Astyanax mexicanus: one gene and its partners. Each later gene encodes a partner of the first gene's protein in a complex. Links are inferred from orthologs where the notes say so. Each region holds a gene or a part of one and is shown in the gene's direction. Other genes may lie near its edges.

Region 1 (10,653 bases):
CTGCTTCTGTGGAGACAACTTATAGTGAGCAGAGCTCCTCTTCAGCTGGTTCCTCCTCTTCTTCTGACCAGCCAATTTATTTCAGGTAAATCATGTACCAGATTTACAGTCTAATTACAACAAACTGTATTATTTTTTTCTCGGATTTCTTAGTTTGTATCTTTTGATTAACAGCTGTTTTAATATTTTTGTCTCCTGTCAGAGAGTTCCGTTTTACCTCAGAAGTTCCCATCTGGCTTGATTACCATGGAAAGCATGTGGCCATTGAACAGGTAAGAATTTAGAAAATACAAACTTCTATATAAGAGCAATCAGACTTTTTAATTTAAAAGATTCATTTATTTCAAACACTAAAGAAAATGTTTTTTTCTTCTTTACAACAGTCCATAAGTAACAGTTTTTGAATGCAGTTTGAAAGGGCCTTAAGACTGCTGACCAGTGCAGCCAAACTGGCCATTTTTGTTTGGTTACTTAGTGCATTGTATTTAATCCTGTAATTTAAGAGCTTGTTTTGTTTTGTAAGGGAACATTTGCAGGAATTCTGATTGGCCTTGCCCAGCTGAACTGCTCAGAGCTGAAGCTGAAGAGGCTGTGCTGCAGGCATGGGTAATTAGCTCAATTTCTTTTACATAAATCACATTTTGCCTCCTTTTTTCCCCCATCTGAACACTTCTTTAATTTATACATAGTGTTTTGTTTAGAATAGCTTGGCGAGTCTGATTTCCTACTATATCTTAGTATTGATGTGTTCCCCAATTAAAAAAGACTAATCTGTCTTTTTATCTCTCTAAGAAAAAAGTTTAATGTTTCTTTTTCTCTTAGTTTGCTGGGTGTTGATAAAGTCATTCAGTATGCTGTGAATGAGTGGCTAACTGACATCAGGAAGAATCAGTTACCAGGCATTCTGGGAGGTGTTGGTCCAATGCATTCTGTAGTTCAGCTCTGTGAGTATGCTTTATAAAGCACTTTATATAAAGCGTTTTTATATATGTCTGTGATGTCTTAATATTTTAATATTTTACCCTGGTTTGTTTATGGTTGTTTTCTACTTCCTTATAGTCCATGGAGTGCGGGATCTGTTCTGGATGCCTATAGAGCAGTATAGAAGAGATGGGCGCATTATCCGTGGCCTACAGAGGGGGGCAGCATCTTTTGGCACTTCAACAGCTTCTGCTGCCCTGGAGCTTAGCAACAGGCTGGTGCAGGCTATACAGGTATATTCACTTATATCTTTGATCATTCTAGATCAGGCTTTTTTCGTTTTCTCATTTAAGATCCTTGTTCTGTTCACCAAAATAATATAAATGGCACTTTCAGTAGATTCAAATTCACAAATGGTAAAGTTTAAGTATTGTTCCACAGGCCACTGCAGAAACTGTGTACGACATCCTGTCACCAACTCCACCCTTGACTCGGTACATCACAGAAGGACGCCCCGCCACCCGTCCCAGGCGAACCCCCCAACCAGCAGACCTCAGAGAAGGGGTGGCCAAGGCCTATGACACAGTCAGAGAGGTAAAATTCTGCCTTTCTTTTCATTGATGCTTAGATGTAAACTAGATGTAAGCTAGTCAGTTAATCAAGTGGGTCAGTGTGCTAAAAGCAGGGAAAACACTAAAATGTTTCCAGGGACTGAAAGCCACAAAAGTCCATTTACTACATTTATCTTTTGTTTACTGGATTTATGACCTAAAAACATTTTTTTATTATTATTATTTGTATTATTTTTATACAGCCTCTTGCAATTAAACACACTATGCATTTAACACTGATATGTATACTGTATAAAGGACATTTTCTGCTGTATCACTTATACCCTTTAACATGGTAACTTGGCTGCCTGTATTGGATCTGTAATGTTTCAAATGTCCTAATAGATGTACACAATACACAATGGCAGGCATACAGCTTATAATATAGTAGTAATAGTAGTAGAAAATAGCCAACCGATCACCCCAACAAATAAATGATTTCCCCACAAGCATGCACCTCCACACTCATTCATCCAGGTATTTTAACAGGTTAACTTATTAACTGTGACTTCAGCTGATGAAGCCTTTTTCCTCTTTCTTTGCTTTGCAGGGAGTGATTGACACGGCTCAGACCCTGTGTGACGTGGCTTCTCGTGGGCACGAGCAGAAAGGTCTTCCAGGGGCGGTCGGTGGGGTTTTGCGTCAAATCCCACCCACTGTGGTGCGTCCCTTAATAGTGGCATCCGAGGCCACGTCCAACTTACTCGGAGGCATGCGGAACCAAATCAAACCTGATGCGCGAAAGGAGGACTTCTTGAAGTGGCGCACAGAAGACGGCCAAGAATGACTGTCAGAGATGCTTGCTAAATGACTCTTTTTGCTAGTGCGAATGGTAGAGTGACTGTGCGAGTGAAAATGTGAGTATTAATTCAGACATGATGATGAAGGAGAAGAAAACAAATTTGTCACTCAGCTAAGCCTGAGATGTTTTAAGTGGCTTCCAGATGTTAGTTGCACATTTTTCATGTTCATGCAATGCAAACATTTTCTGTGTGCACTTTGGTACAAGCAAAGCTGTCTGTAGATGGCCAAGTGCAATTCGCTGCCGTCTCATCTTATCTGAAAGTATGCAATCATATCGATCTTGAACACTGTTTACCATTTACCAAATTACCTGTTTATTGTTTCTTTCCTTCTCGTATTACACACCTGGGGCATCGAGGATGTTTAGCTGTCTTTCTTTAATTATTCAAATTGCTCAGTATTTCTTTCTGTCATCTATAACAACTGTGACATTGCTCATGTCTGCGTAGAAGAATGAGACAATATCTGTCAACATCAAGCCGTTGATTATGATTTTGGACTATTCACATAACTCTGACCCTGGTGTTTATTGTGCCATACTTCTGTTCACTATTAAGGTGAGCAACAATCAGTTTGACCATTAGTTTGACAAAGTCTGTCTCCTCCTAATGCCAGTATACCGTATACATGCTCCTGTAGCATAGCACCCACGCATTAGTTTTCTAATCAATCACTATTTTGTTTTGATTTGTAGTTCATAAAAACTTTGCTAAAAAAAGCCTTTTTGTTTGCTTTCCCAAATTCAGACTTGCTTAGCTCCATCTTGTTATTGCCTTTCTAAATTTTAAAACTGTTTATTTTATTTTGTAATTATGACTAACAACATGATTATCATACTCATTGTGATGATGTCTGTGTATGAGGGATGGCTTTCAGTGACTGAAAGCGTGGAAAGAGGTTTGTGGGTAATACTTCACACTTTTTGTTAAACATAAAACAGTACAAATTAAGGGAAGTGGTGTGAGTGTAGGATTGTGTGTGTGCGTGTGTGTGTGTGTGTATGTACACAGTGTCTTATGCGTGGATGAGTGCAGAGGTGCATGTTAGTGGGTTGATCATTGTTTTGTTGAGGTGATCTGTTGGCTATGTGTTTTTTCTGTAATTACTGCTATATCATAAGCTGTAAGAATGACCTGTATAATACCAAGACAATGTGTAAACAAATTAATACAAAAATAATAAAACATGTACATTTGAATAAAGGTGTACTTTCTTTGGTAATTATGGATGTGAATTACATAGCTATATTGTAGGGGTGACTGTATTTTTTGCTTTTCAAAAACATTTTTCCTATACCTGAACAATCTGCAAAAATATATATACACATTTTTTTTTAATGAAGATACTGTTACTTATTTAACATTAAGGGAATGTATGCTTAATGTTAGTGCCTGTACTTACATTTGGAAGAAAATGTATGTTAAAATTTATCACACTCACTAATAAGAATGATTTTTTTTTTATTATTTCAATGAGTTCAATTCCACTTCCTGTAATTTCAATTCAATGTTTATTGAATTGAATGTAATTCTGAATTTTGCACAGCCCTGGTCTGAAAGCTGTGCATCTTTTTTTGTTATTTCAGCCATTTCTTATTTTCTGCAAATAAATGCTCTAAATTACAATATTGTAATAATCCTGGTTTGAACCGGGTAGAGTAATGCTGCCTCTTAGAAAAAGCTCGGTCGCGCATCTACACCAAAAAACAGAGTATGCGTCTAAACCATGCATTGCGTTAGCCACAGTTTAGAAAAATATGCAGTGAAAACGTACAGAAATAAAATCACTTGTAGTTTGTAGAGACAGACTTGATAAACATACAACTTTTAGAGAAATATAAGAAAAATATGCCTTGAATTAAATTGTTACTGTGACACACTCTTAAGACAGATATAAAATCACTTGTACTCTATAGCACCTGATAAACATACTACAACTTTTGTTTTGAAAAATATGCCTTGGTTAAATTTTGAAGTTATATTTTACCAAACAAAAGTTATACTATGTTTATCAGATGTGTCTATAAACAATGCGTTTTTCTTTTTATCTGTATGTCATTAGGTGTGATATAATAGCAATTTATTGCATTAAAATTAATACAAATTCAACCAAGGCATATTTTTTAAAACTAAAAGTGGCAGTATGTTAATCAGGTGTATCTATATACATTGCTTTATATCTATATTTCATAATGGCATGTCAGTAGCAATTTATCACAGCTTATGTAATATAATAAGTGTGATTTCTTTTAAATATTTTATTTTATATTTTATAAATTGATATATATTTATATAGAATATAAAAAACATTTTGACACAAAATACAGAAAGATTTAAAACTTTTTTTAATCTAGCAAATGTATATATATATATATATATATATATATTAAATGATATGTAAACAAATTAATGTACTTTTTAACTGTTAATTAATTAGTGTGATTTGTTCTTTAAACAGCCATTTATAATATTTATATTAATATATTATTATATTCGTAATAAGTATAAAAATATTATTCATTAAACTTTAAAACCTCAACATTCTCTATTTTTTTCTGGAGCTGTATCTGCCAGTAACACTGAATCTGTCCAGAAAGTCTGCATGACAGCTGCTAGAATTTTTGTTTTTATTGTTGTTTTATTGACTTCTGGTGTCAAAAATGTGTTGTTTTAAACTGACTTTCCTGAATAATTCGAATTCGATATATTGCCTTAAATACTGAAATAAGGTTAAATGAATGTGCATTTTCATTAATTGGGACAAAACAAAAAAGCGTTCTCATTTTATTGGATTTTATTTTACGGCAATAATTGGTATTAACAGTTATTTTTATTAAAGTCCATATTATTTTAATATGCTTTTTAATATGTCTGGAAAACGAATTAGATCTTACTCATTATACTTTATTTGATCAGTGTAACTCAGTTCACGGTTGTGCCACTGTGTCCTGCAGGGGGCAGTATGTGTGGTCTATGATGTTGGCTGTAGCCGCTGTTTAATCCGAGAAGCAGAAATACACGTGAGGCGCTAAGGAAAGCTAACGACTAAGCATAACTTATATATTATTATATTTACACAAAACCTGTAGATCCAGCTTACACAGATATGAAGCTGCTGACGCACAACATGCTCACCTCGCACGTTAAAGGTGTAATTAATGGATACCCACTCCTGATAAAGGTAAGCAGTTAGCTAGCTCATCTGAAACCTAGTATCCAGTAACGTTAGTTCACTCATTAAATGTCTCCATACTGGCATGAATCGGAAGTTGGCCTTTAATTTAACAGATTATCTGGAATTTTCTGTCCCACCTCAGGTTGTATTAGCTGTTCAGTTGTGTTGCTGGTGTTGTGTGTGTCTGATGTTTTGTCTTCTTCAGTAGCTAATGCTGAAGCTAGCATCGCATCCAGTTTAGTCAGGCTTGTATTACACAGAAACCCAGGCAGGGCAGCAGCAGCAACGGGTTAATCTGCTCTTATTAAACCCTACAATTTCCTGCAGTTCACTTTCTTCTGTATATCAGGCGTTTCATGATCATCATAATGATTATTTATTAATTAATTTAACAATACTCGTGTTTTTTCTAGGACTAGACTTTAGAACTGTATAGTCGTTTGTGTTTACTGCCATACAGTGTAATGATAGTAAACTCTTGGTTTACTGTTTTTAAAACAAATTGCATTTAAAATTGAGCAAATAAAAGCTGCCCAAAGGATAATATTAATAATAACATTTGATTAGGCCCGTCCACACGTTTCCAGATATTTGTAAAACCAGTAGCTATAGTCTGCAATGCACAAGTTTCCTTGATTACAGGAGCTTACCTCTACTGTTAGAATGTTCTGACTGTGATTTGGTGCTTCAGCTACACTCAGAAAATAAGTCTATGGGTTTTAAAGCCTATTTTCAAAAGTGTTTACAGGTGTAAATAAGATAATGTCTGTAATATCCAGGGCGTGTCACAAAGCTGGATGCAGCAGAAATGGCATTTCAGTTAGTTGTGTTCAGGTCATATATATCAGTGTTGTTGGCTAACAGATGATAAATTATCCAAAGCAATCTCTAGAATCCTCGCGCAGCTCTTCAGGAGGCACTTTCCTCACTATACTTATGTTTCTCCAGTTTTATTGTTTTAAATTATCTAAAGATTATAAAAGTAAGTTTGTTCTACTACTTTCTGGTCACATTAACACCACCTTAACAACCAATATTAAATATTGTGTCAAACAGACTGCAACATACTACAGTTTTTTTTTAAATACTGCACGTATTCCAGTTAATCAGGACTAATTACACTTTTTGTCACAGTTGGTCAAGCACTGAAATTATTTGATATGCTTACAAAAATGTATTATAAAATGTTAAAATGTATCAAAATACATTAAAATATTCTCATATTGCCATTTTCCGAAGGCCACAGAGGTCAAAGTGAACGAAGTGGAGTTCAACCCTCAGTTTGTGAGCAGAATGATACCAAAGCTTGAGTGGAGTGCTTTAATCCAGGCAGCGGAAGGGGTAAGTGGTACTAAGGTTATAGGGACCATGATCTTTTTCAAACTGCATCACTGTTTTAGGTTGTTTCAGTGAAATGATGGTGAACATGTCATATGTTTTTATAGCTGGGACACCTGCAGGACTTGCCTGGCACACCCATAGAAAACTATGAGAATGATGCAGAATTTTTACGTAAAGTACACAGAGTTCTGCTCGAGGTAAGATATGTGTCCATTATTTTTAAAATCAGTAATCAGTTAAAATACAGAGTATTACTTGTAATATACCTCACTCACAGCTGTTAGTGTCTTCTTGTTTGTAGGTGGAGGTCATTGAGGGATCTCTACAGTGTCCGGAATCAGGCAGAGAATTCCCCATCTCTAAAGGAGTCCCCAACATGCTGCTCAATGAAGATGAGTCATAGGTGATGTTTCATCTTCCTTTTTACAAATGATGAAAAAAAACCACTGTTGTTAAATTGGACAGAAGCAGAGTTAAATTGGATTGCAACAAGTCTTCAAAATGAATGGATGGACATGGATTGAAATATTGGCAAGAATGAAAAATTGTCCCTAATTCTTGCAGCTCTTGTATGCCCTGTTCTTTAAGTTGTTTGTTTGTTTATTATGCTTTGTAATATACTTTAAAATAAATATGTATTGTCTTAAAAAAACTTGCAATCACTATATTTTTATTCACATAAATTAACAATGTAAGGTATATTATTCAGCAACTCTACACATAGTGTACAGTGGCAAAATTTCACCATAATTTCAGAGTAGGACGTTGGGAACACTGCTCTCTGGTGGTGGGTTTTTATTTATGTTCATATTTATGTAGTCTGCCTTTGTCTATCCTTCAAGTTGTTTCTTGTACACAGTTGCGCACTTATATACTAAATGGTAATTGCAAACTTTACACATTAAAACTAAATCAGTAGGTTTGATAACACTAAATGGCTACGATATAAAGCAATTCCTTTTAATTTACTTTACTATAAATACATATACATTTATAGTAAAATACATGCTGGGCATTGCATTGCAAAATAGTAAAGGTTTTTCTTATCAACAATCTTATTTACCAATATTTTACCATTATCTGCTTTATGTGCAATTTAGACAACATACTAATTAACCGGTTCTTTTGAGTTGTGAATGAACTGGCTACATTTTGTTTTAGACATTGCACTGAAATGTTAGACATTGTTTTAGACCCACTCTCATAATCTTCTCTACAGTGTACATTTCATATTAACAAACTGTGAATAATTTACATTTTAGTAAATAAATTATGCTAAAATACAACAAAAAATTAAGCTTAAAACAAACCAACAGACATGCTACACTTTTATTCATTGCAATATAATGCAGTTCCACTTATCTGACTATTATCACCAAAACACTATCAATATAATAGTATACTTGCACAGACACCTTTAAGCTGCGATCTGTGATCATGTTTTCATTTTAGATTTTTTTTTTTATATTACTTTACCTCACCAACCACCTCAATAAACTTGTTTTGGAGTGTTTACACCACTGCTGTACCTGGTATTTAGTGTATTTGGTTTTCCAGACAGTTCAAACTGAAGTATGTCTTAATTATAAGTCACTACAGATTTCTAAAATCATAACAATTACCTGCTGTGTGTTGAACAACATCTGACTGATTCCAAAGCCTTTGTGCATTTCTGTGATACCTAAATTGAAATAGATCTGAACATTAAAAGAATGCTGAACTGTTAAAATGTCAACAAGGTGTTTGGACCCATTTAATTGCAGGCTCTTTTAAAGTTTGCCTAATTTTCTTTTTTTTTTTTGTGAAGCTTCTCAAAACTTCACATGCCAAGCTCTGAGTTCAGGATGACGTGGAGTTTTAAATTGAGATTATATTTAGACTGTGAGAAGCCAGAAAAAAGCACTACATTTTTGGGGGGGTCGCTATTTTTAAATATAGTATTTTAATCCTTCCGCTAACCACCAGAACCTTGTATGCTGTATCCCTCCGCCCTTATCCCTTTCAGTGGGCGCTAGGTGTCGCCAAACCCTCCAAATCCAAATAAGGATTTTTCCTTTTCTTATCCTCTTGCGTTTGAATAAACGCTTAAATCCTTAAGTCATGTTTCAACAGGAAAAAACACTCTATTTTCATGCAGTGGTATCAACCACCCTACTAAAGAATTCATAGCTTGGTGTCTCTATGCCTTGGAGCGCATTTCTTAAGCCCTTTCAGCGTTTAGTCTTGTGTTTAGCCCACTTCTTCAAGTTCAATTACAGCCCTCTGACTGCCACTATAATAACCTTATAATGGGGGAGGTGGAGATCTGCAGTAAAGCTGTTTTTGAAAGATTAACGATCATGTAGTTCATGAACTGTAATTAACAATGAGACGGAGGGAAGGGAGAGGTAGAAGAAAGAGAGGGTGTAGTCCAAATGAAAGGACTGAAGTGTTAAGGTGGATATTAATCATTTCAGTGTAATAAATTAAATGTTAGTTCTAAAGTAAGAAGACAGCAGTAGGTGAAGCAAATTGAAAACACTGGCCCAGTGAGAGTTATTTTGGTTTCTCCACCTCACTGCTGCACACTGTATGGCCTACTGTTGATTATCCAGCAGCACCTGAGCTTGGTGGAAACTTTTCTGTGGAGTAGATTCCAAAGCTGTGCCAAAAGAGAGTGATTCATTCATCTGTTGGTGTGTGGAAAGTGAGACTGGTGAGGTGGGCTGGGGGATATAAAGGGGATCAAACTCGTAATTATGTAGGCTGTGCCAGTTGAGCTACGTGAGAAGCCTTAGAACGCAGACAACCGGTATTAGAAGTGTATAAAACATGATTGATTTTTGAAAAAGACCTGCTGTATAATTGTATGTATAATTGAGTGGTTTATTTTGTACAATGGTTCATACTCAGGTTTGAGGACCCAGAGATGATGAGGAGAAGAAGAAAACAAGACCTGGAAAGTCTCAGCTTGTCAGAAAATGTATGTAAGCATGTAAATGTTAGGGGGTGGCTCAAATATCAAATTCCACATTCTGACTGTAAGGAGCAAAAAAGACCAGCTCTCTGTATTGCTACTTTAATCTTTATATTTACAGTGGATTGATATTTTTGAGTCACCACAGGCTTTGTGGTTAAGGCCCTGCTGGTCTGGTTAGTAATCTATTCCTAGGAACCTAATTTATCAGTATTTCAAGAAATGTGAGGCAGTGTAAGGGGATGGTTTGTGCGTTCACATTATGTAGACAAAAATGTAAATACTTGTTTTTCATTGAACAGCGACAACTTGACTGAATACTTACACAAGTGGAATCAGGTGTGCTGTTGATTGATTAGAATACAGTAACCTGCAGCCTGTGGATATGGTTTGACACCCCTGATTTAGAACATCCTACATCCTAAAACAACACTTGTTTATCAGCAGGCTTGCAAACTTTCCTGAATTGGTGTGAAGTGATAAACTGTTGTTGACTCCCTGTGATGTTTGAAGTTCCCTTCCAACAGAACGTTTTCACTCCCTGTGGTTTGGAACCACCCTTAAAATGTCTGCACACCCTGAGCACTCTTTTTCATAGGGAAGTAAGTGTTACTGGAATGCATTTAATGTCTGAGGCTTTAGACAGTGTTCAAAACCACCCATGTTTTTTAAAGGCTTTAAACACTTCAGGTGTCTATTTCCATTTACCACAAATGTGAACAATTCCAACTATGTACAAAACATTTCACTCTGCATGACTTTGTTTTACATGTTAGATAAGGAGTTATGCTAAAATGTGTAAGTTTGTGTGGAATGCCACCTCAACTAAAGTGATGAATTGATTGA
Region 2 (12,101 bases), on another chromosome or scaffold:
AAAGAAAAATAAAAGGATAATATGCAATATGTGGTTGCTACATTCATTCAGGCTTAAAAAAATGACAATATTGTAAGTAATCCAAAGTAATCAGATTACGTTACTCACTTGAAGTAATGTAACTGATTACGTTACAAATTACATTTTGAGTGATGTAATCAGTAATCTGTAAGGGATTACATTTTAAAAGTAACCTTCCCAACACTGTCTACCATAAGGCTGATCGAGCATTCACATATAGATCAATATTCACACAGTGCATATTAGGTAGAACTTCACATCAAAAGCAGCATTTCTGAGACTAGGCTACAGCCGAAGTAGGCTGTGTTTCTCTGAAGCTATGTCATAGAAGGCTGTTTCAAAGTAAACAGACCTGTGTAAATGGCTGAGAAATGCAATGATGTACACCCTTTCATGCCCTAAATTATCAACAGTTCTCTGTGCATGCACAACCTGAAAGAAACCAAAACAACACTTGAAGTTGTGTTGTTTCTGGTGATTTCACCATGCAGACCTCATTAGACTGTTCTTCATAGGACAGTCTTACTGAGGACCTGTGCACTACATTCTTTAAAGCTAGTGTGCTTGTGTGTTTAAGGGAATAATGGGAATTCCTAACAACTAGTAGACAGGGGGAGTACTGCATAATTCATTAAGATTCATTGGGAATTTTTCTATTTCTTCTTTTTAAAAGTAGAAAGCACAGGGTTAGGGTTGGTTCCTGTCTTATTATTATTTATATTATTTTCAAAGCATTAGTGCAAGTTGTATGTAATGTAAAGTCAGTTATTGGATTAAAAGTAAAGAAAGACATCTCTGATGACTCTCCAAAAAAGAAACTGTTGACCCCTGCTGCAGGATCAAGCCAGATGCACTGGATGTTATTTTGCACAGCCAGCTCTTTTGCATGCTTATGCAGATCGTCTTTGCATTGATGCATGCTCACGAAAGCAGCGAGATGAGCACTTGGTCGTCTCGTCCTTGCCACAGCATCTCCCCTTCAAAGTGCACCAGCCCCTGCCTCCGGGCTCGCAGCAGCACTCCCACCACCTTGTTAGAGATGCTCACGTAATGTTCAAACAGCGTTCCAAACTGCACGGCTGCCCTGCCGTCCTCTTGGCTCTCGCCGATTTCTCGGATGACCTGACACAGTTCCTGCACCTCCCTGCTCACATGGGAGTGAGCGTCCTGCCCTCTCTGCTCTGTTTTGGAACCCTCCGGAGGCCTGCCGTAGCTTTGCTGACCCTTCTGCAGCTGCACAGCCGGTGCCTCATTGTTGCTGAAGGGATTGTGTTTCTGATACTCCTGATGATCACTGGACCATTTCAGCCAGCTCTGTGTTAATCCTTTAACTGAAACATCACCGGGGTCTGCTCCGTCTTCACATGGCTTGGCTGCATCCTTTGTCTCCATAGTTTATTTCACAGCCATTGAAACCCCCTTTACAACAGTTGCCTCTGGAACAAAACACACTGTTAGTGATTCATTGGCTCTGAATAGGGTGCATTCATGTGTTATGGGCCAGCAGGTGATACAAGACTCTGGTTATGTTGTGTTTATTTACACTGCTAATGGGCACATATGCAAAACTGAATAAATTAATTTATCTTGGCCATAAGTGTAATATATGGAGTTTATGTATAAACATCATACAGTCATGTAAACAATTAGGATCCCTTGTCTTTTTAACATTTTTAAATAATGTTATATGTGATGTTTTGGATTGAGAGGTAGAACTTATCTAATTACAAAAACAAAAAAACAATCATTCATACAATGACATTAGGACACCTCTTACCACTTAAAAAGCCAAAATTATTCTGATGATTAGAACATAGACAGGATTTTGGAGGAGCCTGTCTTGTTTAAACCTCAGACATTTAGGCTCTGTTCAGATACAGATACAAATATGTTTCTCGAATATGATCTGTTGACATGAATGTCTGTACTAAAGTAACAAACCAATCTGTATGCACTGCAGAAATAATGACATAAACATTAGTAACTAAACATATGTGCAGTGGCGCAAAAAGGGGGTATGCAGCGTATTCAACACATAGGGGCGCTGCACTACAGGGGGCGCCAAATCGATGCCGGAAAATAATTTCTAGTCGGCATTTTCTGTAAGAGCTGTTGGTTCATGTATGATAATAGAATATAATAATAATATAATAATATAATAATAATACACAGGGGCGTGGCGTGGCCTGGGCTTCCAGTAGCCCCGAATCGTTTTACTCAGCTCAGCTGTATTATTAGTGAGGAGACAGGCCGCTGTGAATGGAAAATCTCTTGACGCGAATCACGGAGCCAGTTCTAGGATAAAGTTCCGCCTTTCAGGAGAAACAGCCAATCAGCTTGCTGGTTTGCGGAGCGCGGTGGGCTAGTAGGGAAGCCCCCGCCCAAGCCCCCCCACTGCCTCGCTGGGGAGGATTTTTGAGGGTTTTTAAGTTCTTGCACCGGGTTTCAGCACTGATGTTAAAACATATCTGGATATACGGAGATTTTTCTAAAAGAAAGGTAAATGAACTAACCATGTAAACTGTGACGAGATGTTTCTGATAGCTAGTTAAAAAGACCCGTCTCTGAATCAAAACACACAGACCAAGGTTTGAAAATGTACCTGATCAGCCAATAACTGTTTCATTTTCAAATTGTTTTTATTAATTTAGGATTGCAGGATTACTGTAAGCTATAATTAACGAAAATGTATTTAGCTAACCAGTTAGCTATAAGCTGGATGTTGTCGAAAGCCAGAATTTAGTATTATACTTAGTTTAAATTAGTTTTTTAACCCTGTTCTCTCCTCTAAAATTGTATGTTTTTCACCCGATCCAACTGATCAGCTAATAAACTTATATAATCAACTGGGCTGAGCCCCGGATTTTTAAATACCCAGGCAACGCCCCTGATAATACACATCAAAAAACAAAAACATGCACTCATCAGGCGCCCATACACTCCTTCTCCACCTGCAGGACAGGTGCTGTATTTACAATATAACCGATCATAACAAGTAAGTAAGTAGATGGTGAATCATAAAACTAATACGTTATAGAACAGGGGTCAGCACTGTATTTTATATTACATAACTGATATTCTGCATCTTGAAATCATTTTTGAAGGGGGGGGCGCTGGTAGTATGTTTGCATACACCTCAAAAAGTATGTAGGTTTACCCCTGCATATGTGTATTGTTGGATCCAAACACTTCAATCGCTCTGGACTTGATGTAGTTGTTACTTATCAAGCTGTGACGCAAAAAATCCAGGCTGAGAAACATCTGTAAAAATCCAACTGGATTTTGCACAAATTGGATATTTTTCAGTCTATATTTAAAAAAAAATTAATCAGTATACAACCATGATGTGCCAAAAATCAAATGTGGGCTGGCAGTCTAACTTAACAAATACATACTGTTGATAGAGTCCTCAAAAACATAACCTGTGGTCTTCCAACTGTGTTCACGAACATACATATCAATATTAACACACATTCTTGCTTTCTGTTTGCTTTATTTTGTTTATTTGTGTTTATAAGTCACTAAAGTGTACCCTGTCACCTGGTGGCCCATATCACCTGAACCTACGTTAAGAGATCCAGCTACAGTGATCCTTTAAATTATGTATCAGGTAAAGTACAGCCAACAGCACTGTAATCACAATTGTCTTTGCTCTTAAATAAAGAAATTGTTGCAGATGCATTATTTTCACACTGTAGTATAAATATCTTGTAATGCAAAAAAGCAATCTACTGAAGATTTAAATAAATATTTTCTGACTTTCCATACATTTAAACTCTCTTAAAGCAGTAAACAGCTCTAATTGAACAACAATGTTCAATTTACTAAAACATCTACCTATAAATTGCAAAATCAGAATAAATGATTCAGAAACTAAAGTGGTCTCATTTTTTTCCAGAGCTGTATATTGCAATGCAAAAAAACAATCTATTGTCAACAATATTTAAATAAATATTTTCTGACTTTCTCTAAATTTTAAATCTTTCTTTCCATTTACAGTCGATGGAAAGAATGTATAGCAAATAAAAATTTAAAAAATGTTGCAGATGCATTATTTTATTTAAGAAATACTGTAGCTCACACTGCAAAAAAATATTTTGTCAAAAAGAAATTCCTGACATTTCTTGACTTTCTATAAATTTTAACCTTCTCTTTTCCTGTACAGTAGATGTGAGCAATGTATAATATTTTTTTATTGTTGTGTATGCTAATCCTGCCAAAAACAGAAACAAGGACGCCTCGAAAATGTGAGAATTAATAATACATAAAGAACAATAAATAATAAAATAATAAAAACTTTCATTTTACCAAAGTGCATTTTTTGCCCATATATGCAGCAATGTGCTGCCAGGGACAATATCACTCCATACATTCAGTAACTAAAAAAGGTAAGAATATAACTAAAAATATGTAGTGTATGTATATGTAGTAAAATAAGAGGCGTATAAGATCTGCACTAAAGTGCACAGACACTATACAGAGCTCCGAGAGGGTGGATATAGGGGGGGAAAGTAGTGAGAATGAGAAGAGAAAGAATTAAGGGAAACGATAAGAAACAGTTACATCGTTATGTTGTGTTCGTTGGAAGTAAAGGATTAAAGTAAGGAGAGTTTTCTTACCCTGCTCTTTATGAAGAAGAGCTGCTCCAGTGACAGGGCGCTGCTGCTGCTGCAGACACTCACACACTTTCAGAAATAACAATAAGACAGAACTGCACGACTTCTGATTGACCAGTGAAAAACACACCCTCAGACATCACTGTGAAGCTGTCCACTTTTTCACCTGCTTTCTTACCTACGCCTGGGGAGTCTAAATCCGATTAAGAGACACATTTAGAGCTGCTACTGAATCCTCTCGAAAGCAAGAGTCTGTTCTGGTCGTTTATTCTAAAAAACAGCACGAAGACAAGCAAGAAAAGTCCAGAGACTGAGTGAAGAGTGAGTAAAGCCTGTGTCTGAGTTGTGTATTCTCCTGGTTTATAAGGTTAGTTAACGTTAGTTAGTGTGAGTAAAGTCTGACAGCAGGGCGGAATATAGACATGTACACATAGACGCCGCATCGATTGACGCCGCCTATTGGCGCTGGCGTATCAGTGAGGCCGCCATATTGGAGGAGTCAACCACGCGCCCCAGTTATTAGTACTGAGGAAGGTGAATAATGCATCTATAATAATCACAACTCTACCAATTTATACCCAATTTCACACGGTTTGTTTTGTTTCTAACAGCAGAGATGTGATAATGATACAAGACGCTGTCTCACATTACAAATACGTGTTTTCATGTTGAAATACTTTAAATTATGCTCTTTTACAAAGACAGACATCTGGTATAGCATATAAATAAATGTATAAATGAATTCATTTTATGTTTATATGTACGTACACACACACTTAATACACTTAACCATACCTGTCAAGTCTCCCGTTTTGGCCGGGAAACTACCGTATTTTACTCCTCTTTCCCGCCGTCCTCCCGTATTAGTATTTTCCCGTAAATTTCCCGTATTATATTAAGATTAAAAAATATATATTATTGAGGAGACAGGGCACTGACCGCGCTGTGTCTCTTAACCAATCGTGGAGCCGGTTCAAGGAGAAAGTCCCGCCTTTCAGGAGAAACAGCCAATCAGCTTGCAAAGGAGAGTCAGTGTGGTGAAGCCCCTAGTCGCTGTGAGTTCAGGCAGCTAGTCGGAGCTGCTGATGTTAAAACATATCTGGATATTCAGCGATTTTTTTTAAAGAAAGGTAAGGGTAAGCTAATCATGTAAACTGTGATGAATTTTTTCTGATAGCTGCTTAAAAATACTCGTCTCAGAAATAAAACACAGATTAAACCTTTTAAAATAAAAAGATTACAGCTTGTGACTCAGTTTAACTAGAAATGTGGAGAGGACCGAAATTAACTGAACTGATCAGGGGTTGAGTAATCAAAAGAAAGAAGTATTAATTAAAAATTATTAATTGTGTAGGCCACTTAGGACTAATTTTTACTGATGGAATATATCTGGTCCATGTCCTTTTAGTAAAGGCTCATAATACTATTTCTAGGTCACATACAGTCATTTTGCAGAATTTGTGCACCCTTTGTTCAATTTTAAATCTATTAAATAAATAAAAAAATATATAATATAAAAGAGTGCATTTATGGCAAAAAAGACATGAAATCTTAACTTTTTTTATATCTAGAAAAGGATTTTTAATTTGGCTGTATTAAAAGAATGACATATGTAGGAATGTCCACAACATTTCAGATTCTGATAATCTAATTGTAGTGTGTAAGTGGTTCACATGTGGTTATTTTAGATTTTTTGTAAACGTGTCTTAAAATGTAAGGGATACTGAACCTTCGTTGGGCTGGTGGGACGGCTTTAAGCGGACAGAGGAAAATATCCCTTATTTTTAAATCTAAAACTTGACAGGTATGCACTTAACACATTAATATGCCATACCATATTTCTGTCTGTTTCTTTGTTAAAGACCATAATACAAAGTATTTCAGGAAGAAAGCACATATTTGTAACGTGAGACAGCGTCCTGTATCACAACCACATCTCTGCCGTTCATAACAAACCAAACAGTGTGAAAATCGGGTAAACATTTTCAGTACTAATAAATGCACTGGAGAGCATGGTTGACTCCTCCAATATGGCGGGCAGTGTTCTGTCGAGTTGTACTAACTTGTCAAACCGTGCAACGGGACGATATAAAAAATGCTCCCGACAGAGGAAGATTTGGATGTTCGGATAAGCTACATCACTGTATCAGGCAAAGTTATGGTCATATAGGTGATTAGAACCCGTTTTTTTAAGTTTATTATGTATATATTTTTTATTTTCCATTTTTTTTAAATTACCATTTATAGCTTTGTAACATACAAGCAGGTGCTTTGATGCACCAAAAGAAAACAGAATTATCATAAAACACATGAAAACATAAATAAGGACGATTGGCGCATGCGCAGTGCTGTTAAGAAGCACATATCGGTGGGTAGCATAACTCGACAGAACACCGGCTGCTACTCCAGGAGGCAGGCTATGCTGCATATCTCTTTGTATACATGTCTTTGGGGCGGAACCCGCTGTGTTGTGGTTGAAGCTGCTGCGCTCACCCGGACGAGCTGCAGCACTCAAACATGGCGCTGCACTGTGGCAAAACATGCCGACAGTATTTACTCCATTTAGCTCACGATAACGTGGACTTCAGACTCCCGGTACGGAATTTAACTGTTTTAAACTGTTCAGTCTGTTAATGCAGGTGTTTGGAGATGTCTGTTTTGTGAGATGTGATGCTGTAAATCAATATATTATTAGCTGGTTTGGTTAGCTAAGCTAGCTAACCTAACATTCTCAGGCTGAGCTTCATTCACTGACTGTTGATGAATAGCTGTATTTACAGTGATAAGTTTAAGTAACTCTGTGTGATTTTTCTTTCTTTCAGGAAATTAAAGCATTGCTGTCCCTCAGGGGTCGACAGTGTGAGCCTTCAGAAACCTTCAGAGAAAAGGTGGAGTCATTCCTCTTTATTTAATTAATTAACTATGCACTGTTGTTTTAGATTTTGTGGATGTCAAAATAATAATAATAATAAAAATAATAATAATAATCTTAATATTCTGTGTGAGCGATACATACATAACAATTTTAGTTTTAGTTTTTTAATTTTAGTTTTTTTACAGCACCATCTAAAGTCTTGCTTAAGCGATTTGTTTCCTTTACATTAATTTTTTTTATTATTATTATTATTTTTTTTTTTTTACAAATATTAGGCATTCCCTTACCTTACAGCAGCTTCTGTCCTCTGACAGCTTCTATATAAAAGATGTACAAGATGTCGATTATCCCATTTTTATGTGTCAGTGATTTTTTTTTTTTTATATTTTACACTTTTCTTAACTGAAATATAGGGATGTTATATTTGCACTATGTTTTATGTAAAAGCTGCATGTAAAAATGTTAAAATTAAATGTAAAGAAAACAATAGCTTGCGCATCAGTTTTAAATCATGGTTCACCAGTCTTATTCACAATGGGTTGGTGTGCGTGCTAAACTACACAAGATGTGTCTTTGCTATCATTTACGGATATGATTGGGTGACCCTTGCTTTAAATGGTGCTGCTTGTTTATGAGAATTGTGCATATATTTTAAAAATAATAAGATTATAATTTTGTTTTTGCAATATATCTCAACCCAGTCAAATGTTTGAACGCACCTTCTCACTCAGTATTTCTTTACTTTATTTATTTTCTACCTTATACCCTCCTGTAAGACGCTGAGAAGTTTAAAACATATTCTGGTTTGTTTAACACTTTTTATTAACTACATAATTTCGCATGTGTTCCTGCATAGCTTTACTGTCTTCAGTATTACATTAACAATGTAAAAAAAAAAAACATAAAAAAAAAGAAAACACACTAAATGAGAAGAGGTGTGTCCAGACTTTTGACTGGTTCTGTACATGAGTAAGAAATGAGGGTAGCCTGGACCACTTAATAGAAAAGCTCCCAGCATTAAAAAAGAGTAGGTTGGATGTGTGGTTGGATAAAGTTTAATGACTTAACAGAAAATGCTTCCAATATTAAATCAGTAGTTAGGATGTGTGGGTAGCCCACATCACTTATCAGAAAATGCTCCCAGCATTTAAAACAGTAGCTAGTTAAAAGGCTTTACACTAGATAAAGGAACATGGTTCCACTGATTTGAATTTTAACCACAATTTTTTTTATTGAAGCCAGGTGCTGATGTTTATATGATTTACTTATGGATCAAAAGTGACAGGGGAGCTTTATATCCATGGTAAATTCATGCATTGCTGCTCTCATGTGTTCTATTCAACTGGCAGGGCGTTACAAAGCTATTTATGCTCAACAAAATTTCGCTGATTTTTTTTTTCACAGTCTCCGTTTTGGCGACTGCATGGCTTGTCTGAGGAAGATGTGCGAAGTGTCATGTCACGGACTGTCTGTGCCAAGTAAGTCTCATTCGTGTTATATCACACTAAGCGGTTATTCACTTTCAGTAATGTGAACATTAGCACAGTTCTTCCTACCTCAAGGCCACCTTGTGCAAGATATCATAACATAATATTTGCTATATATTCAAATATTGATAGTAGTATTTGTGAATGTAACTGCAGGTTGTGTGATGTTTTTATGTAAATGTATGTTTACACTCATTCTGGGCCTGGAAAATCTATTTTAAGGGTGTGTTTTAATATGTTGTGTAAATGCATTCTATGTTTTTTTTTCTTTTCTTCTTAAGGTCTGTGTTTGAGCTTTGGGGTCATGGGAGAACAGCAACTGAACTGAAGTCATCATTGATGGAATATCCCAGGGAAAGCATGGTTTGTGTTTTTTGATTTAACAGTTTAGTCCACATTTAATATGCTTTTTAAAATTAAATCAGATTTTTTTTGTCCTTAAACCTTGATGTATATTCCAGGCTACCTTTCTACAAGATCAATCAACATACAAGATTAATGTCTACACTTTCAACAAGACACTGCTGTTCAATGACAGAATAAAGAAAATAGATGTGAGTACGCTGATATAACCACAACATTGCAGTTTTTTTTTTTTTTTTTAAATCGTTGCATTATTTGCATAGAAGACCACTTTTTTTTATCTGTGTGACCTCTTAGAGTAGGCATGGAGAATGTCGTCAAATCCTTACGTTCTTAAATAGTATCTTGAAGCTGCCTGTTTTTCTTTGTCTGACAAACTACAAAAGGAATAATAAAACTGAGCTGTGATGTTTTTTATGACAATGAAATTGCTGTCACTCCACAGGCCTTGGATTACCTGCCATTTCAAGGAAAAGTAAACCTGAAGGATCCTGATCACATTTTCTGTTTATTTGAAGACTATGGACTAGACCCAAATGACATCCCAGAGGAGCCACTCTACTTATATTTTGGAAGATGGGTGAGACCCATTTTTTCCAATATTTCTCGCAGTTTATTAATTTTTAATTCCAATAGTTTGGATGAAGTACTGGAGGCAGGCAGGGGATGACCTAATTAGACAGCAAAACAGGAAGTGCCAGACTGAACCACTTGTAGCCCTTATGATTAGTATCATGATTAGTAGCTAAAAAAACACAGGGTGTGTTTATGGTAGCAGCTTTTTGTTTTCATGTCTTTGTTTTACAAGACTTACAAGGTGTCCTCTATGATTCAGGCTAGAACTAGTTGATTGGGTTCAATATTCAGAACTATGGTGATATTAGGCAAACATACAGCTGTATGGAGTAAGACTAAAACTTAATCATTGCTTATTAAATCATATGATCTTAATATTAGTGTTAAAACATATTTTGATATATACATGTTCTTTTTTTGGGTTACATTGTGGGTAATTTTCCCAGACAGTGACTAGGCGTAGTCATAGACTAGAACTTCCTTTTAATGGTAAATCTCCATTTAAAATGCTGTCTATTCCAAGACAAGGCTTAATCCCTGTCATGGGAACTGTCTTGTTTGTTTTTGACATGGATTGTTAAAGCTATAAAATTAAATATTGCTATGGCTGCATTGCACATAGCACATGTATTTACTGAGCAATCTATAACTACATAAAATGCTGCTCTAATGGTGACTAGTTTTGAAGCTTTGTGTTGTGTGGTAGTGTATGGATTGGGACACAGCCACGCTAAACTAAAGCATCATACAGAGAGGAAGTTAAATCACAGGTGTGGCAGGGCAAGTCTGCACCCTCAATGAAGTCTGCAGATGTTAGCATTGTGATGTTGGTGGAACTAGTTGGTGATATTAGAATTTGACCATTCATAAGGCAAGCTGCAAGATTGCATACAAAACAATCATCTTGTGACGTTGTGTTTGTATTGTATTCTCATTTCAAACTCACCATCTAAAAACAGACCGATCTGCTCAGGTGGTCCACTTGTTTAGTACGCTCACAATTACTCTAAAATGAATTGTCATGTTAGTGCCTTTTGTTAATCAAACTAAAGCTAACAACCATAAACTCACCCTTAGATTAGATGAAACAGGATTGTGGGTCAGTTTAATTTTTGTTGAGAATCAGCATCACCTTAGAAAATTTGCATTTCTTTGGAAACGTTTATTCTTCCAAAAAAGACAAAGATAAAAAAGGAAACTACAGTAGTTTTTTATTACTATCTTGGATTGGGAAATATAAGACTAAATTTGCATTTCAGTATTTCGCTTGAACCGTGCCCTGTCTTTAGCAGCATTTGGCATCATATTTTTACCTGTTTCTTTCTTTTAGATTTCAGATGGGCAAAGGGAACTGATCCGCTCTCACAGTGTGAAGAAGAGGCACTTCATTGGGAACACCAGTATGGACGCAGGTCTTTCTTTTATTATGGCAAACCATGCCAAAGTAAAGCCTCTGGATCTGGTCTATGATCCTTTTGTTGGAACAGGTGAGGAAAAAACTGTGTAGCAAATGACAGTTGGCTAACCTATGAATTACTTTTTATTATTTTGCCATTTTATTTGGACAGATACAAAAACATGTCTCATAATTTTTTAAATATGAATAATTTAAAACTACAGTAGATCAAAACCCATTCTGTTAGTGTGATTTAAAAAAAAACAAACATGATAATGCTTCAGGAGCACAATTGCTGTGATATGTTCCTTTGACATATCATGAATATCAAGCCCTGAAGCAAAAGTAGACTGTACAATTGTAAGACAGGGTTTAAGATTTTCCCATTGCAGTAATCCATTGTGGATTTTGAAATGTGTATACAGTAAAATAAACCATCAGGATGTAGAAAAGAGTTTCTACTTATGACTTGCCTGTGAAGGTCATATTTTTGCAAGATGTTACTGTACAGTAGAACAGTGAATCTCTCCAGAGTCACCAGAGTTCTTCTTGGTGGTCTTTTCATGTCAAACAAGGGTTTATATGAGAAATCTTCTGAATGAAAAGCTTCTAAAAACACTTGAATACAATTAAGGCTGGACGATATAGCAGAAATTGATATCAAGACACATCTTTTCTCGTATATATTTATTTACTTTGATTCAAGACAATTTAAATCACGAAATGAGCAGTATAAAAGTCACCAACATTGTTGTACAGAAGCACTC
Region 3 (11,072 bases), on another chromosome or scaffold:
GTATTCTAAAGTGCAGTCACAAAGACCATCAAAAATATTATGATGGAACTGGCTCTCATCAGGACCGCCCCAGGAAAGGAAGAGCAAGAGTTCCCTCTGTTGCACAGGGTAAGTTCATCAGAGTTACCAGCCTTAGAAACCACAAGTTAACAGCACCTCAAATAGCGTGTGCAGAGACATATGATGGCATACATCAGCTATTTACATATAATATTTTGTAGACTAACTTGCCAAACCTGCACTGTCAAGTTAAATAAAACCTCTGTACCTTCCTTTATCAGTGTGTAGCACGCCTGTACTACATTAAGCTGCTATAACACAGGACTCTCAATGAATGTAAGCACACTTACTGATGTGAGGACCCTGGTGTCGGGGGGGAAGGTCTGGAACGTTCTGCAGGCCTGCAGGTCTATGGGGTCACGCAGATAAAAAGCAGAAACAGCGGGGGCTATCAGGTCCGGTCGCCGTGACAACAACGCAGCTATACCGGCAGGAACGTAACAGTGAGCGTGATGGAGACTAGTCTGGATCTTATCTGGATACCTGTACAGACAGAGACACACACACACACACACATCGATTATTAATCAGATAAAAAAGGGGGACAAAAAAAGCTACATTTGATTTGCAGAATTTTATTTAAAAAAAGCAAACTGCCTTTGTACTAATGCTGTCATTTTAAAGAACCTTTACAGAAATATTAGTGTTTACATGAAGAATAAACCCAACAGTTAAAGTAATTTTACTATCATCATCATTTAGTAACACAACAGCAGTGCACGTAATGTAAACATACACTCTGCTGTTATTCTTAAACACTTCCACACAATGTCAGAGTCAGACCTGAATATTATTGAAAATCTGTGGTGTGATTTAAAGCAGGTCGGTTCATGCTCAGAAACCATCAATCCTGACTGAACTGGAGATGTTTTGTAAAGAAGAATGGTCCAAAATACCTTCAATACCAGAAGCCAGACTCTCATTGGAAGTTATAGGAAGTTTTTAGAGGCTGTTATTTCTGCAAAAGGAGGATCTACTAAATTATATCATTTTTGTTTTGCAGTGCACAAATTTATGCACCAGCCTAATTTTGTTTAAAAAAAATATTGCACACTTTCTGCAAATCCTATAAACTTGATTTTCTCTCAAACATCAGTGTTCATCTTCTATATGATATATTTAACTGAAATTGCTGATCCAAACAACCACTGATTTCTAAAGATAAATCATGAGAATTATCAGAAGTGCCCTTTTTCATACCACTGTATGTTTGTAATAGTTTTATGTGTGAGTTTTAAAGTTAACATTTTTTAACAGATTCTGCTCTTGAAGTAAAGGTTAGACACCAGATACAGCAGTGCTGCTGGAGTTTTTAAACACTGTGTTCACTCACTGTCTTCCACTCTATTACACACTCCTACTTAGAGATGCTCCACCTTGTAGATGTAAAGCTGGAGACATCTAGAGATATAAGTTCATTTGTTACTGCACAGATGTTGGTCATCCTCTAGGCCACAATTATAGATATATTACATAACTACAAAGTGATATGATCAAAATATGATCAGTGAAGCTAATAAGATGACTGCAGTAACAAGAGGTTAGCCAGACTATGTATATTTTTTCTCAGAGATCAAGCCAAGTAGCCTCGTCTCTCACCCCTCCAATCTGTGGTCAATTGCAGATCGGATCCGTTTTTCTGCAAGACAGCGGTCAGCATGTTTGTGCAGCATATCCAGAGCATCCTTCAGCAACGGCACTGAATCCCGAGGCCAGCCAACTTCTCCAGAACGACCACGATTGGGTAATATGTACAGCCCCCCCCGGTACAAGAACACCTGTATAGTGATGAACAGACAAAGCAACCAATCAGCAGACAGCCAGGCATTCACTTATTCACAGGAATAAACATACAGTGTCTTGCAAAAGTATTCATACCACTTGAACTTTCTCACAGTCATCTTACAACCACAAACTTAAATGTATTTTATTGAGATTTCAAGTGATGGACAAACAAAAAGTAGCATATAATTATGAAGTGTAATGACAATGATACATGGTTTTCAATTTTTTTTCCAAATAAAAATCTGTGTGATGTGCAAAAGTGCCTCCAGTTGTTTTTTCCAGGATTGCTGGTGTTTAGCTTCATCCATCCTGCTATCAACACTGATCAGCTTCCCTGTCCGCGCTGACGAAAAGCAACCCCACAGCATGAGGCTGACACCACCACGTTTCACAGTGGGAATGGTTTGTTTAGGGTGATGAGCAGTGTTACTTTTCCACAACGACAGTGCTTTGCATGTAGGCAAAGAAGTTTAACTTTGGTCTTTTCTGACCACAGTACCTTTTTCCACATGTTTGATGTGTTGCTACATGACATGTGGAAAAGTGCAAACAGCAATTCTTATCTCTTTCTTTCTACAATGATTTTGCTTTCCTTGTAGAATACCTTTTCCATATTAGGATGATTGATTGAATAGTGCTCCTTGGGTGCTCAAAGCTTGGGATATGTTTTTATAGCCTAACTCTTATTTTAAACTTCTCTCCAAGTTTACCTCTGACCTGTCTGGTTAGTCCCTTTATGATATTGTTTGTTCATTAGTGTTCTCTAACAAACCACTGAGGCCTTTAAAGAACAGGTGTTTTTTATACTGAGTCTAAATTACACACAGCTGGACTTAATTAACAAATTAAGTTACTTTTATTTAGGGGGTTTCAGAGCAGTACTTTTGCACATCAAAGATTTTATTTGAATTTTGAAAACCATGTATGAATCTCGTGTTCTGCTTTAACAATTATGTGCTACGTTGTTTTGGTGTATCAATTAAAATCTCAATAAAATACATTTAAGTGTGTGGTTGTAAGGTAGCAAAATGTGAAAGAGTTCAAGGGGTATGAATACTTGTGCAAACCACAGTAAACATAATACCTCCTCTATGCTTACCCTGTTCTCACTGCTGTCGGGGTCGAGCCATTTGGGCAGATGTTCGGCCGCCTCAATCAGCAGGAACTGGCCGTCATTGTCATGGACAGTGGCGGCTAGTTGACTGAAGGTGCGTGTAAGATGTTTGAGCAGGTAAACGATGAACCACTCGTCCTCAACGTTATCACCAAACTCTGTGCTGCCTCCCAAGTGTGCTGGGACTCCCCCTAAAAAACAGATTTAGCACTGTTTAATAAACAGACACATGGCAACTCTAATAAAACATGACATTAATTAGTGGATTGTGAAGTTCCTTTAGTCATAATGGGTACATCCTTGTGTACACTACTCTCAAAGTTCACTTCAAGAATACACAGTAGTATTACTGTAGAGCTGCAACATCGTCGATTTTTTAAATTTGCTGACTCCAAATGTCAGTGTTGACTAACCGATAATTTGTTAAAAAAAACAACAACAACAACAACAACAACAACAACAACAACAACAACAACAACAACAACAACAACAACAACAACAACAACAACAAGCATTTAAAACTCAGGCTGTAGGCTCCTACCTTTCTCTGGACGGTAGCTGAGGTTGAACGGCTGCTGCTGCCAAATGTACTGCACCAACAGAGGAGCAACTTCAGCCAGCAGGTCCTCCTGAAGCTTTAGGAGGGTCTGTTCACTGGCCGCAGAGTCTGGCTGGACTAGAAAGAGCCTATAGTGAACCACATCCTCAGGCACAGGCACTTTCTTAAGAGGGTCCATCACAGTGGTTGGTAGTGCTGAGCAATCTATCAAAATAAGACAGTAATCAGTAGGGGTGTCACGATTCTCTAAATACTCGATTCGATTTTATTTCCGATTTTCTTTTTTCTTTTTTAACAGCAGAGATGCCTATGCCAGTTTTAGATTAGTCTATGGTCATTCATTGGTTTGATTCATCAACTTTACAATATCTTATTTCAAAAGGTGGGCTCGATATAAGTGATACGAATTGATACAAGTGATCTGTAATACACCACATTAGGCACTAATGGTCAAATTTAAATAATTCAATTAAGATATATATGTAATGCCATCTAGTGGCTTTTTTGGTAGCAGCAGTGTGCACTATTAAAACAGCAATATGCAACATAATAATGCAACAAAAAATATATATAAAAAAAGGAACAGTCATGTACAAAATAATAGAACAATTAGAGCCTTAACAAACTGAACTCTATCCTGCTATAACAGTTAAGCATGAAAAATAAGACTTTAAGACTTTTTCGGTCCCTGAGAATGACAATTTTTCTTTAACAAAAGATATATTATTAACTTTATCTAAGAGAAAGATGCTCCTTAAGGTACCACAACTATTAACATATTTGAGGCTAGACAAAACAACTGTTATTTTTATATTTTCAATTTTTTTTTGAGGAGATGAGAATGTCCACATTCTCTGGAGAAATGGCTGCTCTTTTCTACCCTATTCTATCTGTTTAAATAGAACAGTTTATTTAGGAGTTATACGAATTGTACAATAACACTGCTAGATAAATGTAATGTAAGTTACATGTATATATTACCCAGACAGCAAAGTTAATTTTTCCATCGCTAATACACTGAAACAACATTGATCTCTAATGTCAGAATGTATTATTTTGTGCACATCGAGCAGTAACAGCATCTGTTCCAGCATCGCTTTTTTTAAAGAGAAAAATCTGAATAAACTTTATCAATAAACCTGATCATGTTCCTTTAGCAGTTAGCTAGTCATGCAGTAACGTTATTAGTTAACATCATAACTGATGACTCCAACAAGAAAAACCTGAGTATAAACTCGGTTCTAAAAGATACAGAGGCGTCTTAAAAGTTCGGACGTGTCTATAAAGTGAGCAGGATTCAAAACCGGCTGATTTAAGAAGCTTTCACTTACGCTACTGTTTATTACTTCACTCCATCAGACATGTAGAGCTCATCCAGAACGCAGGCTTGATGTTTTGCACATGCGCACAACACACAACCTAAAGCTACTCACCAGCTTAGAAAGAGTCCGGTGTCAAATTAAAAGTTCTTGCAAGCGCAAAGATAAAATTGTAAATGCAGCTCAGATGTACAGCTCTGGAAGAAAAATTAAATAATAAGAGACCATTTCAGTTTCTGAAACAGTTTATCTGATTTAGCTATTTAAGGTCTATTTTTGAGTAAAATTAACATTGTTGTTTTATTCCATAAACTACAGACAGTTCTCCCAAATTTCAAATAAAAATATTTATTGTCATTTATTTTCAGAAAATGAAAAATGGCTGAAATAACAACAAAAAAAAAAAACTTTCAGACCTCAAATAATGCAAAGAAAAAAAAAAGTTTATATCCATTACTCTCTTTCTATATTACTTTTTTTTATTTCTAAGATTTCACATGGCATCCACACTGAACCATCAGCACATCAACATCTTCTGATCTAAGGTGTGAATTTATGTTTGTGTCTGAATCTTCAATATATAAAATAAAGAAAATAAAGAAAAACATTAAATAAAAAGTTGTGTCCAAACGTTTGACTGGTACTGTATTCCTAACTAATGCTTTTATTTTGGCAGGTCGCCTAGTCTAACCCGGATGTTGTATGGTTCTGTATGTCCTGCAGAGCCCATGCGTTCTTGTTTACATCAGACAGATCCTTCAGACTGATTTAATCTGTATTAATTCAGTATATTTATTTGTGTAGAGCTGATGATGAGAGGGGCGGGGGTCTCGGCGGGGTATTACTGCACTGCAGGCGGCGGTATGGAGACCTTCCTGCTGGATGAAGTCAAAAACAAACTGAAAGCTACTGAGGTAACTTACAGAGTTCTCCCCACAGTCCTGATATAAAGTGAAGTTAAAACCGATTTAAATCGAATTAATGTAAAGTAGAGTTAAAACTGAGTTAAACTGAATTAAACTCCCCACACTCCAGATATAACGTGGAGTTAAAACTGATTTAACCCGAATTAATGTAAAGTGGAGTTAAAATTGAGTTAAAATGAATGAAACTCTGCACACTCCACATACAAAGTGAAGTTAAAACTGAGTTAAACTGAATTAGGCTCCACACTCCAGATATAAAGTGGAGTTAAACTGTATTAGGCTCCAAACTCCAGATATAAAGTGGAGTTAAACTGCATTAGGCTCCAAACTCCAGATATAAATTGGAGTTAAAACTGAGTTAAACTGAATTAAACTCTCCACACTCCAGATAGAAAATAGAGTTAAAACAAGGTTAAACTGAATTAAACTCCCCATACTCCAGATAGAAAGTGGAGTTAAAACTGAGTTAAACTCACCACACTAGATAGAAAGTGGAGTTAAATCTGAGTTCAACTAAATTAAACTCACCACAATACAGATAGAAAGTGGAGTTAAAACTGAGTTAAACTGAATTAAACTCACCACACTTCATATAGAAAGTGGAGTTAAAACTGAGTTAAACTGAATTAAACCCACCACACTCCAGATAGAAAGTGGAGTCATAATTGAGTTAAACTGAATTAAACTCACCACTCTCCAGATAGAAAGTGGAGTTAAAACTGAATTACACTCACCACACTCCAGATATAAAGTAAGGTTAGGCTGAATTAAACTCAGCACATTTCAAATAGGAAGTGGTGTTAAAACTGAATTAAACTCACCACACTCCAGATTTACAGTGGTGTTAAAACGAGTTAAACCGCATTAAGCTCACCACAGTTCAAACCTTTAAAGTCCTTGCCACCGTACACTACTCACTGTCCACTTTATTATAAACACATAGCTACAGTTTTTACAGCTGTGTATTACTGGAAAGCAAAAAACTGTAATCAGCATTGTGTTATTACATTAGCATGATGTTATGTAATAATTAGGGGTGGGTGATATGATTATAAAATAATGTCAATATTTATTATTACAAAATATATATTATTTCAAGAACATACTACTGCAACAAAATTAATATATTTTTTTATTTGGTGATATTATTGCTTAGATTGCAGTTCCACAAGCTTTTGGCTAAGTGTTGGAGTCCAAAAACATTTGGCTGAATGGCGGAATGCAAATGCATTTAGCTAATAGTGTCCACAAACTTTTAGCTAAAATGAAGAGTGGCTAAACTTCTGCCCAAAAGACTGTTGGATAGTTTTATGAATATAAATCATAAAACTATAAATCATAAGCATATATGCTTGGTTCTACAACTCTGCTGAAATGTGTTTTTGTAGCTTAAAAATTGTGGGCTGTAGTTAGGTTACAAATTTCTGGTTGAAATTAAATTTACACATTTCAGGGCTTTTTTTTATGGGAGTTTGGGCCACAATGTTATGAGACTACAGCTTGTTATTATGATACTGCTGTTGCAATTATGATTATACATTTTTGTAATTATGACACAATGTTTTGTAATTATAAGAAAATACTTATTTATTAAAATATATCACTAAAACGGCATGTGGTGTGACAGAATAAGAGAGAATATGATATTTAGTAAACTGTTTAAACCATCGTTATTCTGATAAATGAACCTTTTACTTGTGTGTCTGTGTGTTAGGTGGAGCATATCCCTGGCCGAGTGTTTTTCCGCTGCACTTCAACTCTACAGCAATTGATGTTATTAAAATCTGCAGAGAGGCTCTTCCTGCTGCTGCGCAAGGCTCCTCCCATTACCCTGCCCAAAAATCCAGGTGTGCTGCTCGCATCATACAGGTGTGCAACAAACTTAAATGCGCAAGATTTGTAGTTACTTCTTATTAGAAATTAGAATATTATATAAGACTTAATTACTACTTTTGGCAGTGTGGGCTTTGTGGCAATTCCTGCTGGAAAATAAAATTTGCATATTTGTAAAAGTTGTCAGCAGAGGGAAGCATGAAGTGCTGTAAGATTTTTGGGGAAAACACTGCAGTGACTTTAGACTTGATAAAACACAGTGGATCAACACCAGCAGATGACATGACTCTCTAAACCATCACTGATCATCAGTTAATTTTACATTTCATTTGGAAATCATGGAACCAGAGTCTGGAGGAAGAGTGGAGAGACACACAGTCCAAACTGCTCGAGGTCTAGTGTGAAGTTTCCACAATCAGTGATGGTTTGAAGAGTCATGTCATCTTCTGGTTTTGGTACTCTCTGTTATATCAAGTCTAAAGTCAGTGCAGTGTTTTCCTAAAAAATATTACAGCACTTCATGCTTCCCTCTGCTGATAACTTTTATGGAGATGCAGATTTCATTTTCCAGCAGGACTTGGCACACTTCCCACACTGCCAAAAGTACCAATTGGTCTTATATACATATTCTAATTTTCTGAGACTCTGACTGACATCAACAATAAAATAAATGAACGCTTAAAATAGATCACTCTGTGTGTAATACATCTATATATATATATATATATATATAACTGAATTAATGAAATAAAGTAACTTTTCAACAATATTCTTTCCAATACAATACAGAACATCTGTGTTACTGAAAAGGGTAAAATATGGATTTATTGGTGTCAGATTCACAACACAAACGCTTACTGCAACTTTTCCGTTTATTGCATTAATATTATTCCAGTGTTGTAAAATAGCCACAAACTGCCATAAATAAATTTAAAACACAACTACACTACTGTAAACTGTAAGCTGTGTAACATAAGCTTACAGGAGAAAAAAATTAAAACCAAAATACATTAATTCAGTATTTAATGGCATATATTGATAATGAAAACTATACAATATATTGCTGTATCGATACATTCTCACACCTATATTAGGTCAATCACAAGTATGTCTTACTCTTGAAAATTCTTTCTTCAGCGAAAGCAGCGGACGTAATAAAACAGAGCATTGTGGGAAATCGAGATGTTTGGAGCCACACCCTCAAGTCCTGGACCTCCCTGCAGGCGGAGCTTAATGGCCCTCAGGGGCGGGGTCAGAAAAGAAAGAGGGATGAAGGAGAGAAGGAGGAGAACAGCAGTGAGAGTGGTCAGAGTCGCCCCACCTTCAGAGTCAGCTGCCGCTGCAGTGGAGCCATCGCTCGCTGCTACAACTCCCAGGTGTGTGTGTGGGGGAGGACATACAGAATTTATATACAGAAGATATACACCAACATGCCAAAACATTATGATGGCTTGCATTTTGATGGACTCTGAGATGCTCCAATACACACACAAAAGCATTCCTGCTTTTTCAATGTTGTGCGGCCATAAGAGAAATAACTGACAAAATGATTAATAAATAACATGTTCTAAATGTGAGCTTGTGATCACAAATAAACAGTACAATACAAATAAATCTACACATATATTTTACTGTTGGTTTGACATTTACCTTACCTTTACCCTTATAGAATTTGAGTCGTATCATTGGGGTGGCCATCAGCCGACAGCTTGGGTGGAAAACTGATCTTCGAGATCCATCCATTGAGGTAAACACTAATCCTAACCTTAATCACAACCATAACATTACTAATCCTAACCTTAACCCCAACCATAACATTACTAATCCTAACCTTAACCCCAACCATAACATTACTAATCCTAACCTTAACCCCAACCATAACATTAGTAACTCTAACCTTAATCACAACCATAACATTACTAATCCTAACCTTAACCCCAACCATAACATTACTAATCCTAACCTTAACCCCAACCATAACATTACTAATCCTAACCTTAACCCCAACCATAACATTAGTAACTCTAACCTTAATCACAACCATAACATTACTAATCCTAACCTTAACCCCAACCATAACATTACTAATCCTAACCTTAACCCCAACCATAACATTAGTAACTCTAACCTTAACCCCAACCATAACATGAGTAACTCTAACCTTAACCCCAACCATAACATGAGTAACTCAAACCTTAACCCCAACCATAACATTACTAATCCTAACCTAAACCCCAACCATAACATTACTAATCCTAACCTAAACCCCAACCATAACATTACAAATCCTAACCTTAACCCCAACCATAACATGAGTAACTCTAACCTTAACCCCAACCATAACATGAGTAACTCAAACCTTAACCCCAACCATAACATTACTAATCCTAACCTAAACCCCAACCATAACATTACAAATCCTAACCTTAACCCCAACCATAACATTAGTAACTCTAACCTTAACCCCAACCATAACATTAGTAACTCTAACCTTAACCCCAACCATAACATTACTAATCCTAACCTAAACCCCAACCATAACATTACAAATCCTAACCTTAACCCCAACCATAACATGAGTAACTCAAACCTTAACCCCAACCATAACATTACTAATCCTAACCTTAACCCCAACCATAACATTACTAATCCTAACCTTAACCCCAACCATAACATGAGTAACTCAAACCTTAACCCCAACCATAACATTAATAACCCTAGCCTTATTACTAACTCTAACCTTAACCCTAACATTAATATCTTTTATCTTAATACCAACCACAATGTTACTAACCACTGTCTTAAACCCAACTTTAATGTGGATCTGCAAAATAAACCTCTTATATTTTATTTACATTTACAATTTTGTTTTACTTGTGTCTCATTATCTGTGCTGTGTATGAGCTTTGTGTTTTGTCTTCTCTTGAAAAAACAGGTAAATGTGTACTTAAATGATGACCACTGTGTGATTGGCATCCCTCTCTTAAAGTAAGTCTCTAAATGCAGCTCTGTATCATAACATGGGTAAGTTCTGTGACTTGTACCAATAGTGGAGCCAATGTTGGTCCTATGTAATCCTCTAGGCATCCACTGGCCAGTCGCAGTTATATGAAGCACACTGGGCTAAGGTCCACTGTTGCCTGGGCCATGGCGTCCCTCTGCGCTGTACAGGTAAGGTTTTGTAGTCTGTTTCTAACTGTTAGAAAGATACATCATCAAAACTGTGGTACATAGAGTGTTTGTCTAAATATTTGTTGACACTCATAGTAATGAATGCATTCAGTACCTTTAAGTTGCGCCCACGGCTGACACGTACTTATATACACACAGGTGTACACACACACAGCTTGTTTTTGTCCTTGTAGAGAGGTACTGCAAATAGAATAGTAAAGACTATTTGGAACAGATAAACATAAATGTACAGTCATATAAAACATTTAGGGCACCCCTATTAATCTTAATCATTTTCAGTTCTA

Evidence for each region.
Region 2: trmt112 (region 1) and trmt11 share a complex: the UniProt entries of both Homo sapiens proteins name them as parts of the heterodimeric TRMT11-TRM112 methyltransferase complex. The link is inferred for Astyanax mexicanus from reciprocal best matches to the Homo sapiens genes TRMT112 and TRMT11.
Region 3: trmt112 (region 1) and thumpd2 share a complex: the UniProt entries of both Homo sapiens proteins name them as parts of the heterodimeric THUMPD2-TRM112 methyltransferase complex. The link is inferred for Astyanax mexicanus from reciprocal best matches to the Homo sapiens genes TRMT112 and THUMPD2.

What each region holds. Positions count from the first base shown.
Region 1 is NC_064417.1:41,864,222-41,874,874, reverse strand, and holds trmt112 (multifunctional methyltransferase subunit TRM112-like protein), read left to right. Parts: upstream 1-5,318; 5' UTR 5,319-5,441; coding exon 5,442-5,516; intron 5,517-6,749; coding exon 6,750-6,851; intron 6,852-6,955; coding exon 6,956-7,048; intron 7,049-7,152; coding exon 7,153-7,254; 3' UTR 7,255-7,503; downstream 7,504-10,653. Other genes in the region: atg2a (autophagy-related protein 2 homolog A), read left to right, coding at 1-85, 203-272, 524-606, 823-944, 1,060-1,214, 1,363-1,515, 2,083-2,319. UniProt on the Homo sapiens protein: Acts as an activator of both rRNA/tRNA and protein methyltransferases. Together with methyltransferase BUD23, methylates the N(7) position of a guanine in 18S rRNA.
Region 2 is NC_064413.1:31,063,350-31,075,450, forward strand, and holds the start of trmt11 (tRNA (guanine(10)-N2)-methyltransferase homolog), read left to right. Parts: upstream 1-7,116; 5' UTR 7,117-7,154; coding exon 7,155-7,232; intron 7,233-7,459; coding exon 7,460-7,525; intron 7,526-8,916; coding exon 8,917-8,990; intron 8,991-9,280; coding exon 9,281-9,362; intron 9,363-9,460; coding exon 9,461-9,553; intron 9,554-9,807; coding exon 9,808-9,942; intron 9,943-11,268; coding exon 11,269-11,425; intron 11,426-12,101. Other genes in the region: si:dkey-29b11.3 (actin-binding Rho-activating protein-like), read right to left, coding at 943-1,413. UniProt on the Homo sapiens protein: Catalytic subunit of the TRMT11-TRM112 methyltransferase complex, that specifically mediates the S-adenosyl-L-methionine-dependent N(2)-methylation of guanosine nucleotide at position 10 (m2G10) in tRNAs.
Region 3 is NC_064421.1:32,504,708-32,515,779, forward strand, and holds the start of thumpd2 (THUMP domain-containing protein 2), read left to right. Parts: upstream 1-5,526; 5' UTR 5,527-5,646; coding exon 5,647-5,751; intron 5,752-7,477; coding exon 7,478-7,610; intron 7,611-8,733; coding exon 8,734-8,972; intron 8,973-9,265; coding exon 9,266-9,343; intron 9,344-9,399; exon of another isoform or gene 9,400-9,460; intron 9,461-9,526; exon of another isoform or gene 9,527-9,625; intron 9,626-9,691; exon of another isoform or gene 9,692-9,790; intron 9,791-9,889; exon of another isoform or gene 9,890-9,988; intron 9,989-10,021; exon of another isoform or gene 10,022-10,120; intron 10,121-10,153; exon of another isoform or gene 10,154-10,264; intron 10,265-10,531; coding exon 10,532-10,584; intron 10,585-10,679; coding exon 10,680-10,767; intron 10,768-11,072. Other genes in the region: ecd (protein ecdysoneless homolog), read right to left, coding at 351-543, 1,660-1,838, 2,945-3,150, 3,501-3,696. UniProt on the Homo sapiens protein: Catalytic subunit of the THUMPD2-TRM112 methyltransferase complex, that specifically mediates the S-adenosyl-L-methionine-dependent N(2)-methylation of guanosine nucleotides, most probably at position 72 (m2G72), in the U6snRNA of the major spliceosome.